Linked DNA regions of Lepisosteus oculatus. The protein of the gene in region 1 purifies or fractionates together with the protein of each later gene. This does not show direct contact. Links are inferred from orthologs where the notes say so. Each region holds a gene or a part of one and is shown on either strand. Other genes may lie near its edges.

Region 1 (8,119 bases):
ACAGTTGCTTGGGAAAGCCAGAGATGCACGATTGCAAGAACAGTGCAGTTAAGATCAAACACAGAGCAAAAACAATAAGGACCTGAAAAGGTAACAAACGAGAGGAGGCTGTTTGTCTATCTAGCCTGTTTGGTAGCTAATTGATCCAAGGTTCTTATCCAGCTGCTTCTTGAAAGAAGTCTCGGCAACATAGCTGGCTAGCTTGTTCCACACTCCCACCACCCTTTGTGTAAAAAGTGCCTCCTGCCCTGACTGGAAGATCTCGTCCAGCTGTTACCTGAAGGAATCCTAGTGTAGAGGCTTCACCTACACAGCTGGGCAGCTTGTTCCAGACCCCCCCCCAACACACCCCACTGTAGCGTGGACATGACTCAGCGTGCCCACCTGCCTCCTGGCGCAGAAGCCCACGAGCCTCCAGGATACGGCAGGCCTCCAGGGCACACTGTATGGCTGCCTCCTTCTTCTTCCCCGTGTGGGTTACCTCTGCCACCAGCTGTCTGCCCACCGCGTCGTCCACTGGTAACCTGGGCACAGCACATGGCGGCTGTCAGTTCAGTATTACCACACTGAGTTCACAAAGCACAAGGCCCTGGGCTGGGTTGTCAACATTTCTAAAATATTCGAGAAAAGACAACTAGCATTTCAACACACTGAGAAGTCAGTTTAATTTGACAGAATTCAACTAGAAACATTCTTCTTTTCCAGATGGACATATGTGATAAAAAAAATCAACTTATCTCAGGAGAGAAACACCTAGCCCACGTCAAAGAAACAATAATTAATAATTAAAGTAAGAAATAATTCCACAAACATGACAAAGAAAAAAAAATTAAAGCTCTGCACCAGCAGCCCCACTTGGGCAACACAGAGCAGCCACTCTGCACAGCAGATCAGGGAGATCTTTGTCTCTTGCAGCTGCAGGACAGTACTGGGATAGGATGGGTGTGAGAAATAAGGAGGTGGGCAGCCTTACCTGACTCTGCAGACCCATGTGCTGCGGCCCTTGTCATCATACTCGTACTCCAGCTCCTCGCCTGAAATCATAATGCAAAGCTCAGCCTTCGGTTTGCTCCCAGCCCATCCACTAGACTCGCATAATTAATAATTACCAAGGCTGTACATGTCAAGACCATTAACAACATGCTAGAATGTAGATACTTTATTGATCCCGTGAGGGAAATTGCAGTGCAACAGCAGCTTAACACAGACAACACAGCCACAGTGTAACGAATGATACAATAATAATAATACAATACATACAATACAATCAGTACAGTGAGGGGTGCACTAAAAGAGTTACTCACAGTCAGGAAACACAAAGAACAAACTATAACAGAACAGTACGCAGAAAAATCGTATCACACATCTGAATATAAATATAGATGTAAATATAGATATAGATATAAATATAAATGAACAAGTAATAGGTTTATTCCATGCTGAAAAAAAGGAGAAAAAACACAACGTTTCAGCCGTGGAGCCTTCTTCAGGTGTGGGAATGTTTAATAAATATAAATGTATAACTACACTCACTATGTCCCACACAAGGCGTCACTTGGTAAACCTTTTTTTTTTTTGCACAAGACTTGCACATACAGACTATGTCAATTCTGGCCCACACTTTCCAAAGAAATAATAAGCAACCAGGTGATTTCAGTTTAACGGCAGGGGACGAGGTACTGGTATTCATGGAGTGTGGATGTGTTAGACCGCTAATGTCCATGCACTGAGCGAAGAGCACCTACTCCCCTACCTTCCCTGTCGAAGAACCCCTGCAGGGCCTTCTTGGGGTCCTTCAAGTAAAGGGCCTCTGGGTCCTCCTGGAACTCACTGGCGAAGGGATTCTCGGCGTTCTCATCCTCCTCTGGAAGCGCATCTTCCCCTGGGGGGAGAACAAACGGAGAGAACAAAAAAGAGACAGAGGTGAGACAGAAAATGGACTTCAAACAGCCTTCACAGAAAAAAAAAAACGTGAAAGGAGGTCGATTAAGAGAAGGCCTGCTGACCCAGAAAGAAGACTTCTGAGTTTCTTGAAAGTCATGCATATCTGAAATCAATGTATTAACCCTTATTTAGTAATGAGGACTGCTGCTATTCTTCGTTCTGAACCTGCTTTGTTTTCCTGATTCCAGGATTTATGCCCCCAAGATTGTGGCTGATGCCACCTTTCTCGGGCAGTAAAACTAATGCTAAGTTAGAAACTTCCCTGAATGAAGCAGCTTACAGTAAAATACAAGAATCCCATGAATGTTTAATAGTGTGTCAGCAAACAGCAGAACTGAGCTGAAATCACCGACTGTGTAAGGCTTCAGTGGTATTAATGATTCCCTGCCTAACCTCTCAGTTTGTGTAAACATACACAGACAATTTTGATTTTCCTGGATATTTACTACTGGACCGGTGGAAATGAATTTTCAAGCCCGGTGTTTGTGTGTGCTTAGCAAATCATGAAACGCTGTTAACTAGTGGGCCATCAGTAAGGTAGAAGGCAGGAGGACTCTTGTTCCTGTGCCATAGTAAGAGCACTGGCCAAGAACCAGACTCAGCAGGTCCCACTGGGGCTGTGCTGCGTGTTCCAGTGGCTCACCTATTCCCCAGGTGCAGCTGCCCTCTTCACTGGCACAGCTCCCGCTGGTGCTGCTCTCCCCTTCTTCCTCTCCCTCTCCCTCCCTTTCCTCGTCCGAGCCGTCTCCCATCATCCGCTTCTCCAGCTCCTCCCGCTGCCTCTGGCTGCGCTCCCTCAGCTCCGTGACGGACAGCTCCGACTCAGCTTCCGCGTCACACTCTGGGCCCTAGGAGGGGAGACAAACGGTCAGTTCTCCCCCGAGGAAGGCAGGGGACTAGGTCTCCTTCAAAAACCGCCTTGCAGGAGACCAGGGCACGGGCTCCCAACCTGCGTGCAAATGGACATCAGCCTGGCTTAACAAACAGGACCGAGTCTTAACCAAAACCTGTCTTTTAATCAATTCAAAACATTCCAAAAGCTAAATGATTTCATCATTTGAGCAGCTGTAGCCTTTTGAAAATCGTTTGTGATGGACGACACTACAGGTGCTCTTGGTACCAAGAAAAAAACCTGAATAAACAAAACAACAAAAGCCCATCTTTATTCATTGCCATGCTTTATTTATTAAGATATGAATTCAGGAAGGGTACCTATCTTAATGATACATAAAGCAACATTTGAAAGAGGTCACTGAGGGTTTTCGTACATAGTCTACAGAAACTGTAGGTGGAAAGTAGCAGTATCGCATTCCCACTGGACTGTACGTGAGTGCTTATGTGTTTCATAATTACCATGAAAAAAGTGTGACACATTGATTTAACAAACCTATTACTTGTTCCTTTGCAGCCTTAGCATGCTGACGCAGCTACCCACCTGAACCACATTGATGTTATGTCTAACAACTTCCCTATTTGCAAAGTCAACATTTAACAAGGATTTAGGAACTTGATTCTCCATCACTTGAAAATGCAATTAAAGGGCATTTAGTTTAAAATCCTGATTAAACACTTAATCTATATCCAAATTACAGGTATAGTCATAGTTTGGGTTCAGGGAGCCTGGATCAAACTAATCAGCTAGGTTGTTGAAGCCGAAGTTCATTTAAAAATTTACTGTGCATGGAAGACCACAGAGTGCAACACCTTTGAATAATCTAACTCTGCAAGAGATTTAAAGGAAATCAGACACTCTCGTGTGTCTGCAGGCTTACCTGCAGGATGAACAGCCTGGTGCTGCCCCCAAACTTGAGCACATGGCCCACTCTTAGCCTGATGTAGGTCTTGGGCGGAATCTTGTTCTTGTTGACGAAGGTGCCATGTGTACTACTCAGGTCGAAAACATAGAAGCCCTTCTCTTCCCCGATCACGCCCTCCTCTCCAGCGCGCCGCCGGTACTGGACCACGGCGTGGTAGCGAGAGATGGAGGGATGTTCCAGGGACACATCACAGTTTGGTAACCGACCAAAAACGAAGAAGCTCCTCTCGGTGAGCGGTACCGTGTCAAGGATGGTGCCATTTTTCAGAATTTCAAAGTAGTAAGATGTCTCTGCCAGACCGCCCCAGGGCGGCTCGGTGTATGGCAAAGGAGGGCAGGGTTTAAACTTCACGTCCGATACTTTGGATGGGAGTTTGGCTTTGAGGACCTGCGCACTTGCAAGACCTCGTACTGTTGCGCTGGCTGCGTTATCCTTTACGGGTTTCGCGGTTGTCGGAGAGGTTGTCTGGCTGCAGTCGTTTGTCGTGTCGCTGCCGTTTTCTAAAATGCCATCACCAGATGTACCGCAGTCCCCTTCTGATTCCAAGCCTTCTTTACCTGTGTGCGTGGCTTCGGGTATTACAGACTTCACACTGTTTTCCACAACGGGTTCTTCATCAACAGTGGACACCGGGGCAGCTGCTCCGGGTTTCTTTAAAGGCAAGGAAGGCGCCTTGAAAACGTCAGGTTTCTTAAACGGATCTTCCAGTGCGTGGGTTTCATTCGTCCCTTCTCCTCCCTTCGTCTCCAAAATAACCCTATCGGGCTGTTCTCTTTCTTCTTTCTCACTCATTCCAATTTCAGTAAGCTCACGCTGCTGCTGCTCTAATGTTCGTGTTACATTTACTTCTTCCGCCATGCTTCTTGGTACAAATGCAAAATATTTCCTTCCGCTTTGGGGACAGTAGAGACTAATCAAGAAAGGTTCCACATCAGAAGACTTTTAAATAAGTAACGTTTAAGGTTATATTTTTGTACATTATTACTGATTATTTTTGGTTTTCAGCGTGGAATTAACCTCTACGTGTTCCTTATTTGTGAGAACAATAACACCGAAAACACTAGCATGGATTTTTATTACTTTTTTATTTGGTCTATAATTCTCTTAATTTATTAAACACGGGTAATAAAATTACTAATAATATTAGAAATATTCATATTGCCACAATATATATATCGCTTACTATATCTCATCACGAAATCATAATAATGTTGAAGACGACGAATAATTTAGGAACTATTGTATAATGAGTAATTGTTTCCATACGAATCAAAATAAGAGTTGGACACTTTGAAATTTGTCTGTTCGGCATTCAAGATTAAAGAAATCGTATTAAGGTGAGTGGTTTTGTGTGGTTTATTGTTTAAACACTGATGGTTGAAAAGTTTCAGTTTTGTAATGTAAGCAAAAATACACATTTTATTTTAGTAGGGTATCATAACTGCAAGTCAATAATTGTATGGATACGATTTTGTATACACTATAATTACAACGGTTATGTTAACATTTATGTTCTTTTTTCAAATTTTACACTGTCCGCTGGGTTGAAAACCACGCCTCAAGACTGCGGTAAACTTAAAAAGTATGGTTTCGTCCGAAATAAAGACGCCGAAACAAAAATATATAACGAACTAAAAATATAGTATATAGTGTTAAGCGTCACCTAACTCCCAATCCAAGGACAAATGACAATGATGCGTTGTGTAGACTAATGTCTAACTCTATAGTACTTCTCTAGAATAAATCCTATAGCCTCAACTTTAATTGTAGGATATGAATTCACAAAACAAAACAAAAAAGTAAAAACATAATTAACTCGAGGGACGGAAATTACGCTATAGGCGTAATAGATATTACATGCATGCATAGAGTGCAGTAACATTGTCGTTACTGTAGCAGATCCTTTAGGGACTAAACGCATTAACGTGTATCGGCAACATGGACAGTAATTCTCTCTTTACTAGCTGTTTAACTTCTGTACACACTCTCAATTTTCAGGAACTTATGATTTTTAAAATACAAGAAAAATTCATCACTATATAGTAATTTTAGTAATCGAAGGCACAATACTCCAGGAAGGGCTGTCTCTTGCATCCTGGTCCTGGAGGCCTGGTGTGTCTGTGGGTTTTTTTAAGCAGCAGCACCTGAAGAGCTGGAAATGGTTGTTAACACAGTAATCAGAGTGTTGAGAGCTGAGGTGGATTTAAAACCTATAGACACACCAGCTCCCAGGACCAGGATTTGACAGCCGTCAGATCCTCAATAAGCATACTTAAACAATTACCATTCGCTAGAAGAAAGCTCCTGAAGGAAGACAACTGGTTTAACTCTCATCGTATTGTGGTTCACAACACGATTTTGTAGGAACATGTTAAACCACAGGTTCTCACCTCTTTACCTGGGAGTCTGGAATCTATAGGGATATTCAACGCCACTTTAGGTCGTCGATAAGGCTTAAGGCCGTGGAGAAAGAAAAGATCAGCCCAGTTAAACCTTAATTGAGTCAGTTTAACACCCAGGTGAAGAGTATCTTTCGAACTTATGGAGAGACATAGAAAGTCTGCTGGATTCTGGACCCAGAGGACTCAGGTTGGGATCTCCTGTGCTAGACTGTCACTTTCTGCCACCCACAGTCCTTTCACCTCGTTTTGGGAACCCCTACCTTAGAGAGCAAAGCCTTATGTCTGATTCTAGTGCCGTTTAACATGAATCTACTGTTTTGTGTGTGTGTCCGGCAGTGTTGCTAGCGTGTCTCGAGGCTGAGGTGGCACGATGATGCGGTACTGGGGGGAGATCCCAGCGCCCGCAGCGCCGCCCAGCCGCAGCTCCTTCGACCTGCTGCAGCGGGAGTTCCGCTCGGTGGAGGTGCAGGACCCCCCCCTGCACCAGCCCTCCGCCCAGCGCCCGCGCCCCACCACCATGCTGGACGTGCCCTCGGAGCCCTGCAGCCTGACCATCCACACGGTGCAGCTGTGCCAGCACGCCCGCCGCCTCCGGGGGCTCCTGGCCGCCGCCCAGGGCCAGCCCCAGGCCGAGGGGGCGGGGCGGCCCGAGGACAGCGACGCCCTTCCTCCCCGGCCCGCCACCCCTGCCCTGCCCGATGACCTGCTGCCCCCCGACAGCAAGGCCCCCCACCAGCCCTTCCAGCTGCGCCACAGTGACCCCGAGAGTGACTTCTACAAGTGAGTGTGGTTTAGGTCTGCCTTTTCAATTTAAGGGCACTTTCTTCCTTTCTCAGTTTCAATTAAATTCAATTCAACTTTATTTGTCATTAAACTTACACAGGTGCCTAGTATAATGAAAAGTGTTTCTCATTAGTCACTCAGGTGCAGTATATAAATAGGACAGAAGGTAAGACAATAGACAGTAACACAATAGCAATAGCAGTAACATGTAATAACATAATATAAATAACATGTAATCAAGTAATCGAAACTGTGCAAAATTCCGCAAACAGAGAAAATATAACAGGACAAAAATACTGCAAGGTAATTCTTGGAACATTGCAAAAATAGTATGGTTAATTAATAAATATTAAATATTATTACGACCGGTACAGTTTTACTGGGCTATTGAGGGGACAGTACAATTTTGGCTTACATTTGTGTATAGTGGTGTAGGAGTACAGTCATTGTGGGTACAGGTAGACGTTAGGAGAGATCATAATATGGTTGGAGGGTGTGGGGGCGTCGCCAACTTGACAACTCTGGGGAAGAAGCTATTTTGGAGTCTAGTTGTGTGCGACTGGAGTGACCGGAACCTTCTGCCAGATGGTAGGGGAACAAACAAGTTATGACTGGGTGAGTTGGGTCAGATATAATTTTGGTGGCTTTTTTCAGACTCCTGGTGTTGTATATTTCCCGGATGGATGGTAAGGCACTGCCGATGATGTGTTGGGCAGTTTTGACCACCCGCTGTAGTGCCTTGCAACACCCGTGCAGTTGAACACTGCTGCCTCAGTCTCACAAGCTTGCAATGAGCGGGGCAATAAAGACAGGGAAGAGATGCAAGAAGTTAAGATAACCAGCCAAACACTGAAATGGTGTTAACCATCCCCTGGCCGCGTCTCTGTGAGCACACCATGAGTTAACCAAATCGGCTAGCCTACAGATTTGTGTGCCTTGTATTTTGTAGGATTTGAGTATACAAACAAGAAGAGGGAAACATTGTTAAGTATATAGAAGGAAATTTTGCAATAGCTGTAAGTGTTAAGACATGGAATAACTTGAGTTCAGTAACTCCCTGGTACAGGCTGAAGAAGAAATGACAAGGAAAGTCTCTGGGTTAAAATAAAGTGTGCCCGCACTGAAAAAAAACCTGTCTTCCACAGCATTTCCCCAGACATGCTCCTTCACTTT
Region 2 (7,875 bases), on another chromosome or scaffold:
TCAAGAGCCCGCTGGTCAGAGCGAATCCCAGATAAGCAGATCAGCGAATGTTAAATTCACTGATGTCGAGGCCCTGCTGGTGATCCAAGTGGTGGACGCTCAGCTCCTCTGTTTGCTTTCACAGAAACGCAAAGGGAAATCAAAGCCTGGTGGGACAACCGCAAAGGTGAAGGCTCTCGTCAATAAATCGGTAAGTTCTGCAGCGTGGATCCGTCCTCTCTTGTCGTCTCTTTTTCCTTTGTGAACGCGGGACCCTCTGTCTCACTGCTCCAGGGGAGCGCGATGATGAAGTGAGTGTGAAAGGAGGGGGGACCGCTGAGACATTTTTTTTTAATGTACAGGATTCCGAAGAGGAAGATGAGGATGAGGACGATGAAGAGGAGGAGAAGGCGGCTTCTTCAGATGAAGAGTCTTCCAGTGAGGAAGACAGTGAGGAGGAGGAGGAAGAGGAGGATGATGAGGTTAGGAAGTGTGGGTCTTGCAAACGACTCCTGGGCATCCTTTCTTTATTAGTTCTAATCTAGAGTGGTTTGAAATGTAAATGTATGACTGACAAATGAACTTTTTTAATTATTTCCCCCCGGCGTGTTTAGAACGAGGAAGATGATGACGAAGAGGTGGATGACAAGGAGAACAAATCTGAAAGTAGCAGCACCGGCTCGTCTAGCTCTGAGGAGTCCTCCGACTCGGATTCCGACTGATCCAAGGGATGCCCGTAGGAAAAGAAAATCCATCCTTCCTGACTGTGAGCATTGCAGAGCCAAGAAATGGGGGAACAGTTCCCTTCCATAAATGCTGCTGTAATAGCACTCCCCTCCCAGGAGGAGGCACCCTATGAGCCGAAAAGACAGACAGCAAGAGTGCTTTTTGTGCAAAGAATCCCTTCAAATTCCCCCTGCCCTAGCTTAAACACACAGACACCTACATGCTGGCCTTTAGGGACACGTGCGCTTTGCTGCAAGAGCTCTGTCCAGCTGACTCCCAACAGCCTGCTCCCAGAATGTTTCTCCATACTTTAGTTTTTAACACACAGTTCTTGAAAAGAACACTCACACCTCTGTCAGAACAATGCGACATGTTATAAGGAGACTTGCTTTCACGTTTGGGGCAAAAAAAAGCTGAACACCAAGACTTTTGTAAAGCATTGTAACTTTTAAAAAACTGAATACCACTTTTAAAGCTTTTTTGTGATGTGATGTAAAACAAAATGCCAAATTCCCTTATTCTGCCCAGTAACGCTTTTTTGAAAGGGACATTGTTGAATCTCACGGCTACTGTATGCGGTAGGTATTCCCAGTGACGAGGAGTGAAAGAGTACAGTTCACTTGCAGGCAGAGCAGGGGAGAGGTATGGGACCACACACTTCCGTTTAAGCTAACGCATTGATTCAAGGCCTTTGTTGTCAAACAAGTGTTTTTGATTGTGATTTTCATGAAGAAATAAGCCAAGAAATAAGCCAAGGCTAATGACCTGTTAGGTTGGCCAAATATCAATTAAATGTGCTTTTGCTACAGAGTTAAAATGCTAGTTACCTGTTTGGAAAATGTTAAGTGGAGTAATTTCTTACATCACATTTAAAGACTGGAATAAGACCACCATCTACTGTTTTCAGTTTATGAATCAAACTCTTTGGTGAGAAGGCCTAAAAGCCACAGCTAAGCAGACAAGTTTAAATGCTTGTTCAGAAAATGTTACTTGTGATGCTTGATGAGTAGTTTCAACATCAGCATCTGTTTATATTCTTTTGTTCGCCATTAGATTAGTAGGGGGACTCAGCTTGCAATCGCAACCTTTGATTCTATGTCATTTAATTTCCCAGACTCATTGACAGTATTTCAGAATCATTTCCTTTAGTCCTAGATTTGTTACGACCAACATCCTTCCTTTTTTACTTTTTTTAGTGGTAGCTCACCTTTTCAGAAGCTACTAAAAAAAATACAAAAGATTTTAAGGAATCAAAATGCACATGCTTTCGTTGAAAAGAACGACAACAGAACGCCAAGAAAGGAAATTCAGTCTGTGGCTTTCAAAAGTTGATTTTTTTTTCAAAGAGAATGCACTCCCAGGCTACTGTACTCTATGGAGCCCCCTAGTGGTGTATGATTAACTGTACTGCGTGATTCTTGAGCCTCAGAAATGCTAGGAACCATCCATTTGCGATGAGCTGTTGTAAACCTAGTATTTGTAGGATGGAAAATAGCTTCTGTGCAGTTAGGGTCAGATAAAACAGATTTTGTTTTATCCACATTGTCCTTACAAACCACTGTTTTTTATGAATCCTGATTATAATCTCTACTGCAGATTGTCAGGTCTCCCAGTGCAATCAACAGACAGCTTCCAAAGGTGAAGATGTGCACTTAAACTTTTATTCTTACTTTTTATTTACTTTCATGAGATTCCTACTAAGTTACCAATTAGGTATTATAATGGTGGGTTAACTGTTTTTATTAAACCAGAACAAATTTGCATTTAGGACATCATTTTTAGTTTTTAATCTTAAATATTCTAAGACCTTTCCTGTGAATTCCCCACTAGCTTAGTGTAAAAAGACCACATTTTTTTGTTGGGGAAAAGAATGTCTAGTGAGGCCAAGCTGAATGAGTATTTTTCCTAGTAAAAAAAATTATGAGCACTCACTTTAGTAAATGGATGCATAAAGAAAAAAAGTCATGGAGTCATTCACCTCCACCCATGAGGAAATATTGACATTGAAATTAAATATTTCATAACTGGATCCAGAAGTCTTTTTAAATCAAAGGAACAGTCTTCAGGCATTACAATCCTGAGGCCAAGAGCTGTATTTCACTGTGGACTAAGATAATTTGTTTTCTGCTTCTTTGTTATACTCTGTGCAGTGCATACTTTGAAACAGGAAGAGTGTCACTGGTACAGTCCCACAAGTTATTAAGTCCCTTTTGCCAGTTTGTTCATAAGGAAATGAATGCATTAAAGCTGCACACTGGGAATTTCTAGTATGGAGGGGGGGGGGGGGGGTGTCATGTGTTGGGTCTAATATGGTTGTATGGTATTTGTATATAATGCTCTTTGTAACAAGTGGCTTTTGTTTTACTTGTAAGTATATTTTTATTTTGTGGAGAAAATCTTACTGTTATTTGTAGGGCGCTGCGGGGTTAATGAAAGCGAAGGCGCCAGTCTCGGCTGTAAGCGGCGACTTTAGTGCGTTTTTGCACTTCCCAGATGCATGCAGCTCTCGGGAGGTTTTTTTTCTAATGTTTCAAAAGTGTTTTTTTTTGTAGAAACAATAAAAAAAACAAACAAAAAAAAAGCTTTGCAGATTTGTACTGCTCACGACAACCCAGAAAATCTTTATGATGTTTTATAGCAAAAGGTGTTCTTTATTTCAAGTTATTTACTATTTGGGGCAAGTAAACTTTGTTTTTATCAAAATAACGGTGTTGTTTATTGACTTCAGAAACTTGCATCTTTTGCAAAGTCTGCTTTAATGATATCTTTTGGGTGAGCTTTTACAACATATTTACTATAGTCTTTTTTTGCACTTAACCAATATTCAACCATTTTAATGAAAATAAGGGAGATGTACCAGGCCATACCTAAATCCAAGACTACAAATTCCCGAAGAACTCCTTAAAAGGGGGAAATCTGTATCGACTAGCTATAGATGTGCAATAAGCTGATGGATATATCAATTGAGAATGTTGATTAGGTGGCACAATGGTTAACATTACCTCACAGTGCTGGACCTGGGGTGCTGTGTGCATGGAGTTTGTATGTTCTCCCCATGTTCTTGTGGGTGTCCGCCAGCTGTTCTGGATTCTTCCCGCAGTCCGAAAACATTGGGGTAGGTTGTTTGGCTTCTGCGAAGATGAGTGAGATTGTATCTGTGATGGACTGGCGTCCCATCCAGGGTGGATGAACAGGCTCCACCGCAACTCTGAATTGGAAAAATGGGTAAAAAGAACGGAACAAAATGCAGATTAATGGTTAAATAGCACAACTTTAATTTAGAATTTTAGATGATGAAATATAAAATGAACTAAAATTAAGTAGGGGAGAGAGAAGCTGGGGGTCAGAGCGCAGGGTCAGCCATTTATACGGCGCCCATGGAGCAGCTGGGGTTAAGGGCCTTGCTCAGGGGCCCAACGGAGTAGGATTCCTCTGCCGGCCGCAGGATTTGAACCAGCAACCTTCCAGCCACAGGCGCAGATCCTGAGCCACAGAGCCACCGCTCCTCCGCAGTTGTCATACTGGGGCACTGGATTTAAATTCTATTCCAGTATGAAGATCGCCACCTACTGGTCCACTCCCACCCCTTACAGCAGCAATCTGATTTTCCTCGGAGGTCTCCCATGATTTTTCTGTGGCGCAACATTCATTCTAAAATGCAAAATACTGCGCCAACGTACATGGCATTGAATGATAGTGGTAGGTGCTGAACAACAGATTTCTCAAGATCTATAAACATCTCCTGCCCTCTACAGAGGCTCATTTCTGCCACCTAACTTCCTTGTATCCAAGATGAGACAACAGTTTAATTCATTTTTATAGCTGCCGGGCTTCCCGCACACGTTATCCGCCGGATGCAAAACATTGAGGTAACTAAGCCATCAACATGTAGAAATGCAAACCTAACGGCGGGTGAAGCCATCCCGTTGACGTCACTCCCAAACTGCTGGCAATTTTAAAGATACAAAACGAAGTCCATAACAACTCGCCTGTTACACACTGGTTGTGTTATAATCGTGCAACCAAACTTCAGTATGGGGGGGGATAATGTAACCTAATCTCCGCCCCGCCTGTCGGTAATTGGAGACTGGTTTGACTGCGTCGCTGAGCTGCTGGTCGGATCGTCTGTCCATCAAGCAGCGCGGAGCTCAACCCTAGCGAGGTAGGCTGATCTGAGCTTTTGCTTTTTTTTTTCTTATTGCATTTCTTTTTCTTCCCCATTTAAAGCCGTCTCTTTGATCGCAGTTTGAATGATGACCGGCTTGTGACAAGCTCGTCTGCAGTATTACTGCAGGTTAAAAAAAAAAAGAGAAGTCTTGTTGGGGTGGGTTGTATATATATATAAAAAAAAAATCAACTATAGGTAATTGATTAACATTGCCTGCAGGAAAAAAATGGCAGCTTATTCCTTTATTTTTTTATTATTTTTGACAGCGTTTAGATAATTGTGCGCTGGAATTTTGTGCGTCTTTTTTTTATTACAGGCTTGGAGTGCAGTTTGTTTCGGACGGTAGTAATGAAAGCGGACAGGACACCGCTGTCTACATGAGATGCCTTTCTGGACAGAGAGCTGCCGGAATCGGCTCTGATCTCCAGCCTCGGCCCTGGCTATTCAAGGGTGAGGGTGCAGGTTACAAAAAAAATCACTTCCAGTAACAATTGTTTCGGATTTCTTGACGATGCCTTTGACGAATTTATTACGTACCTTTAATTAGCGAGCCCCGCTCTGACCACGGATCTTATTTAGGCACGATTTATGGATGCTGATATTTTTAAATGGGAGGGTGGTATGTAGATGTAAAACAGTTCCTGCTTGGCTTTTCTTAATCGTTTTAAGTTTTTTGTTGTTGTTGTTGTTTTCTGTGATGGGCTGCGAGTAGTTTGATGCATTACAGCCCCCGCAAAACCGTTCGTTATTTGCATGTGCTCAGTTCAGAGAAAAAACGTGTTTGTTAATTGTCGGAAACAAAGTGAGCAGTAAAGTGCGTTCCGTGTTTCAGTGCCTTAAAATATTTGAAAGGTGTGTGTTTACACAGGCTTGAACTGTGTCCTTTGTACGTATTATAATTTAAGTGACGACGGTTTTGGATTTCATGCATGTCTGATTATATTTAGCTTTTTTTGGTGTGATTAAAACAACGAGACCTTTTGTGTTAACATTCTGGCTGGGGCTTTTTTTTTAATCTCGCAAATGTTCTTCTTCGTATTTAATGTAACTGTATTACCTAGTAATTATTTATTGTTTTAATAACTACTGGCCCTCTTTGTGAGAATGAGACACAAGGATATCTTGGTAAATACTGTAACGCATACGGCCAACTAAATCACGCCGTCCGTTCAAATGAATAGTTTTGGTCCGATTTGTACGGCGGAGGTCTTTCCTGCAGCTACATACCCGTGAACTTTTTTTCCAGCTGAGTTCAGAATTACTGCAGCCTATCTTTTCATTAATTTAGAGACGTCACTGTAGCATTCTTTAAAGATTTATGCCCTTTGCTCTTTTAAGAGCATAATCACAGTAGGGTCTTTTGTTATTAAACTGTACATTGAAGTAGAGTGGCGATCGTTTTCTTGGTTGTCTTTAATTTATATGGGTCTCATTTGGCCTCTGTTCATACTTGTCAAGTGAAATCTGTTCATTTAGACCTCATGTTAGTTAAATACACAAGCTAAGAAGAAAGAAGCCTTTCCTTTTGAAATCCATTGCATCGGGTCCCTTTCCCCCCACCTACACCCTGTACTGTCTGCAGTGTCCTGTAAATGTTTTTCTTTCAGCCTCCTGGAAGAATAAAAGAAACACTCGTTTTATGTTTTGTGAAGCTACGTCTGTATTTTCCTGTTTGGCCATATTTCTAAAAGTGTTCTTAATCTTTTCTGGCATCCATTTAGTTCCCCTGTATATAGTTGTGTAACTCTTTTGCTGTCATACTAGAATATATATATTTTGTGTGAAACTGTTATCATGTAACTGACTTCTTGTTTGCAGACAAACGGAATCCCTTGTTTTGTTCACAGTCAAGTTTTCCCAGATTGAGACTATTTATCTCACTTGTTTCAATCAGGTTTCATTTTGCTGTATTTCGATCTTGCAGTTCATTGTATGAACCGAACTCTATAAACACTCTTCTGGTGACAAAATTAAATGACCTCAAGAAATAACATTCTCCTAACTATAATATGCTTACAGTTAGAGTATTTTGGAAACCAAACTAAAGAGGTTGTGTTTTCAAGTCTGGTCCCAGAAAAATAAATATTTCTATCTTAACGCAAAGTGTCAGACATTTTAGAGCAGCTTGTCCTGGGATTTGTCAAAACTTGGAAATAACCTCTTATTTGCAATCCATTTGGGCCAATTTCAAGTAAAATTGAAATGTAGCTGGAGTGGGTATTTTATTCATTGTAATTGTGGCACGAAAATACATATTATGTATATAATTATACATATTATATACACAGTGGATTACCCACTTCAAAAATAAAAACTAAGAAAGATTAGATCAGATCTGTAGGTTATCAGTTGTATGAATTCCATTGTATAGTTATGCATACATATGAAGGAGAAGATGCCATTAGAAATACATTTTCATTGTCATCCGTTTTGACTTATACCATTAATGATGCAATTTGGAAGAGCACAGCATTATTAAGAAGCATAAAGCTATGGAATTCTTTTTTCCCGTTCAGCAGAAAGAGTCTTTGAGAAGGAAGGCCATCATTCCCCACTGAAGGCACGTCTTGAATAAGTGTGCACACCAGCCTGGCACAGCTCTGCGTGTTTGTAAGTACTGTGGGTCCATTGGGAGTAAGTCCTGTTGTGCCTGCTTTGGGGTCATTTTTACTTGCTGTCCAAGTTATTAAGAACCTTCAGTCAAATGAATAGACTCACAAGAGGTATGCAATATATGGTTGGCTTCAGAAGCCAGATGCAGACTTAATTCACTTTGTTTAGCCAGAACAATCCACAGATCTCAGTCCCGTTGAAGGCTGAGAAAGCGTGTGAAATGTGCAGTTCTGTCTCATTCGCTGTCCTGCTTAAACAGTGAGTTTGAACTGGGCTGCACTAATTTAAAATCTTATGGAATATATGGCGTATCTCAAATTGAGAGGACCAGTGCTTTTTTTAGGCGTTGTGTTGTAATATTTTGTGTGGTTTTGTACTTTTATGAGCTG

What was found. The genes of interacting proteins can lie anywhere in the genome.
Region 2: the proteins of supt7l (region 1) and atxn7l3a purify together in Homo sapiens (affinity purification with mass spectrometry; 6 studies listed by BioGRID and IntAct, counting the BioPlex papers as one, with this or other methods). This does not show direct contact. The link is inferred for Lepisosteus oculatus from reciprocal best matches to the Homo sapiens genes SUPT7L and ATXN7L3.

The regions. Positions count from the first base shown.
Region 1 is NC_090697.1:27,545,738-27,553,856, forward strand, and holds the start of supt7l (STAGA complex 65 subunit gamma), read left to right. Parts: upstream 1-5,013; 5' UTR 5,014-5,098; intron 5,099-6,499; 5' UTR 6,500-6,533; coding exon 6,534-6,943; intron 6,944-8,119. Other genes in the region: slc4a1ap (kanadaptin), read right to left, coding at 385-524, 974-1,034, 1,754-1,882, 2,588-2,792, 3,717-4,619.
Region 2 is NC_090723.1:3,126,244-3,134,118, reverse strand, and holds the start of atxn7l3a (ataxin-7-like protein 3), read left to right. Parts: upstream 1-4,777; 5' UTR 4,778-4,867; intron 4,868-4,876; exon of another isoform or gene 4,877-5,029; intron 5,030-5,189; 5' UTR 5,190-5,323; intron 5,324-7,389; exon of another isoform or gene 7,390-7,392; 5' UTR 7,393-7,483; intron 7,484-7,875. Other genes in the region: ubtf (nucleolar transcription factor 1), read left to right, coding at 125-190, 342-461, 594-701. UniProt on the Homo sapiens protein: Component of the transcription regulatory histone acetylation (HAT) complex SAGA, a multiprotein complex that activates transcription by remodeling chromatin and mediating histone acetylation and deubiquitination.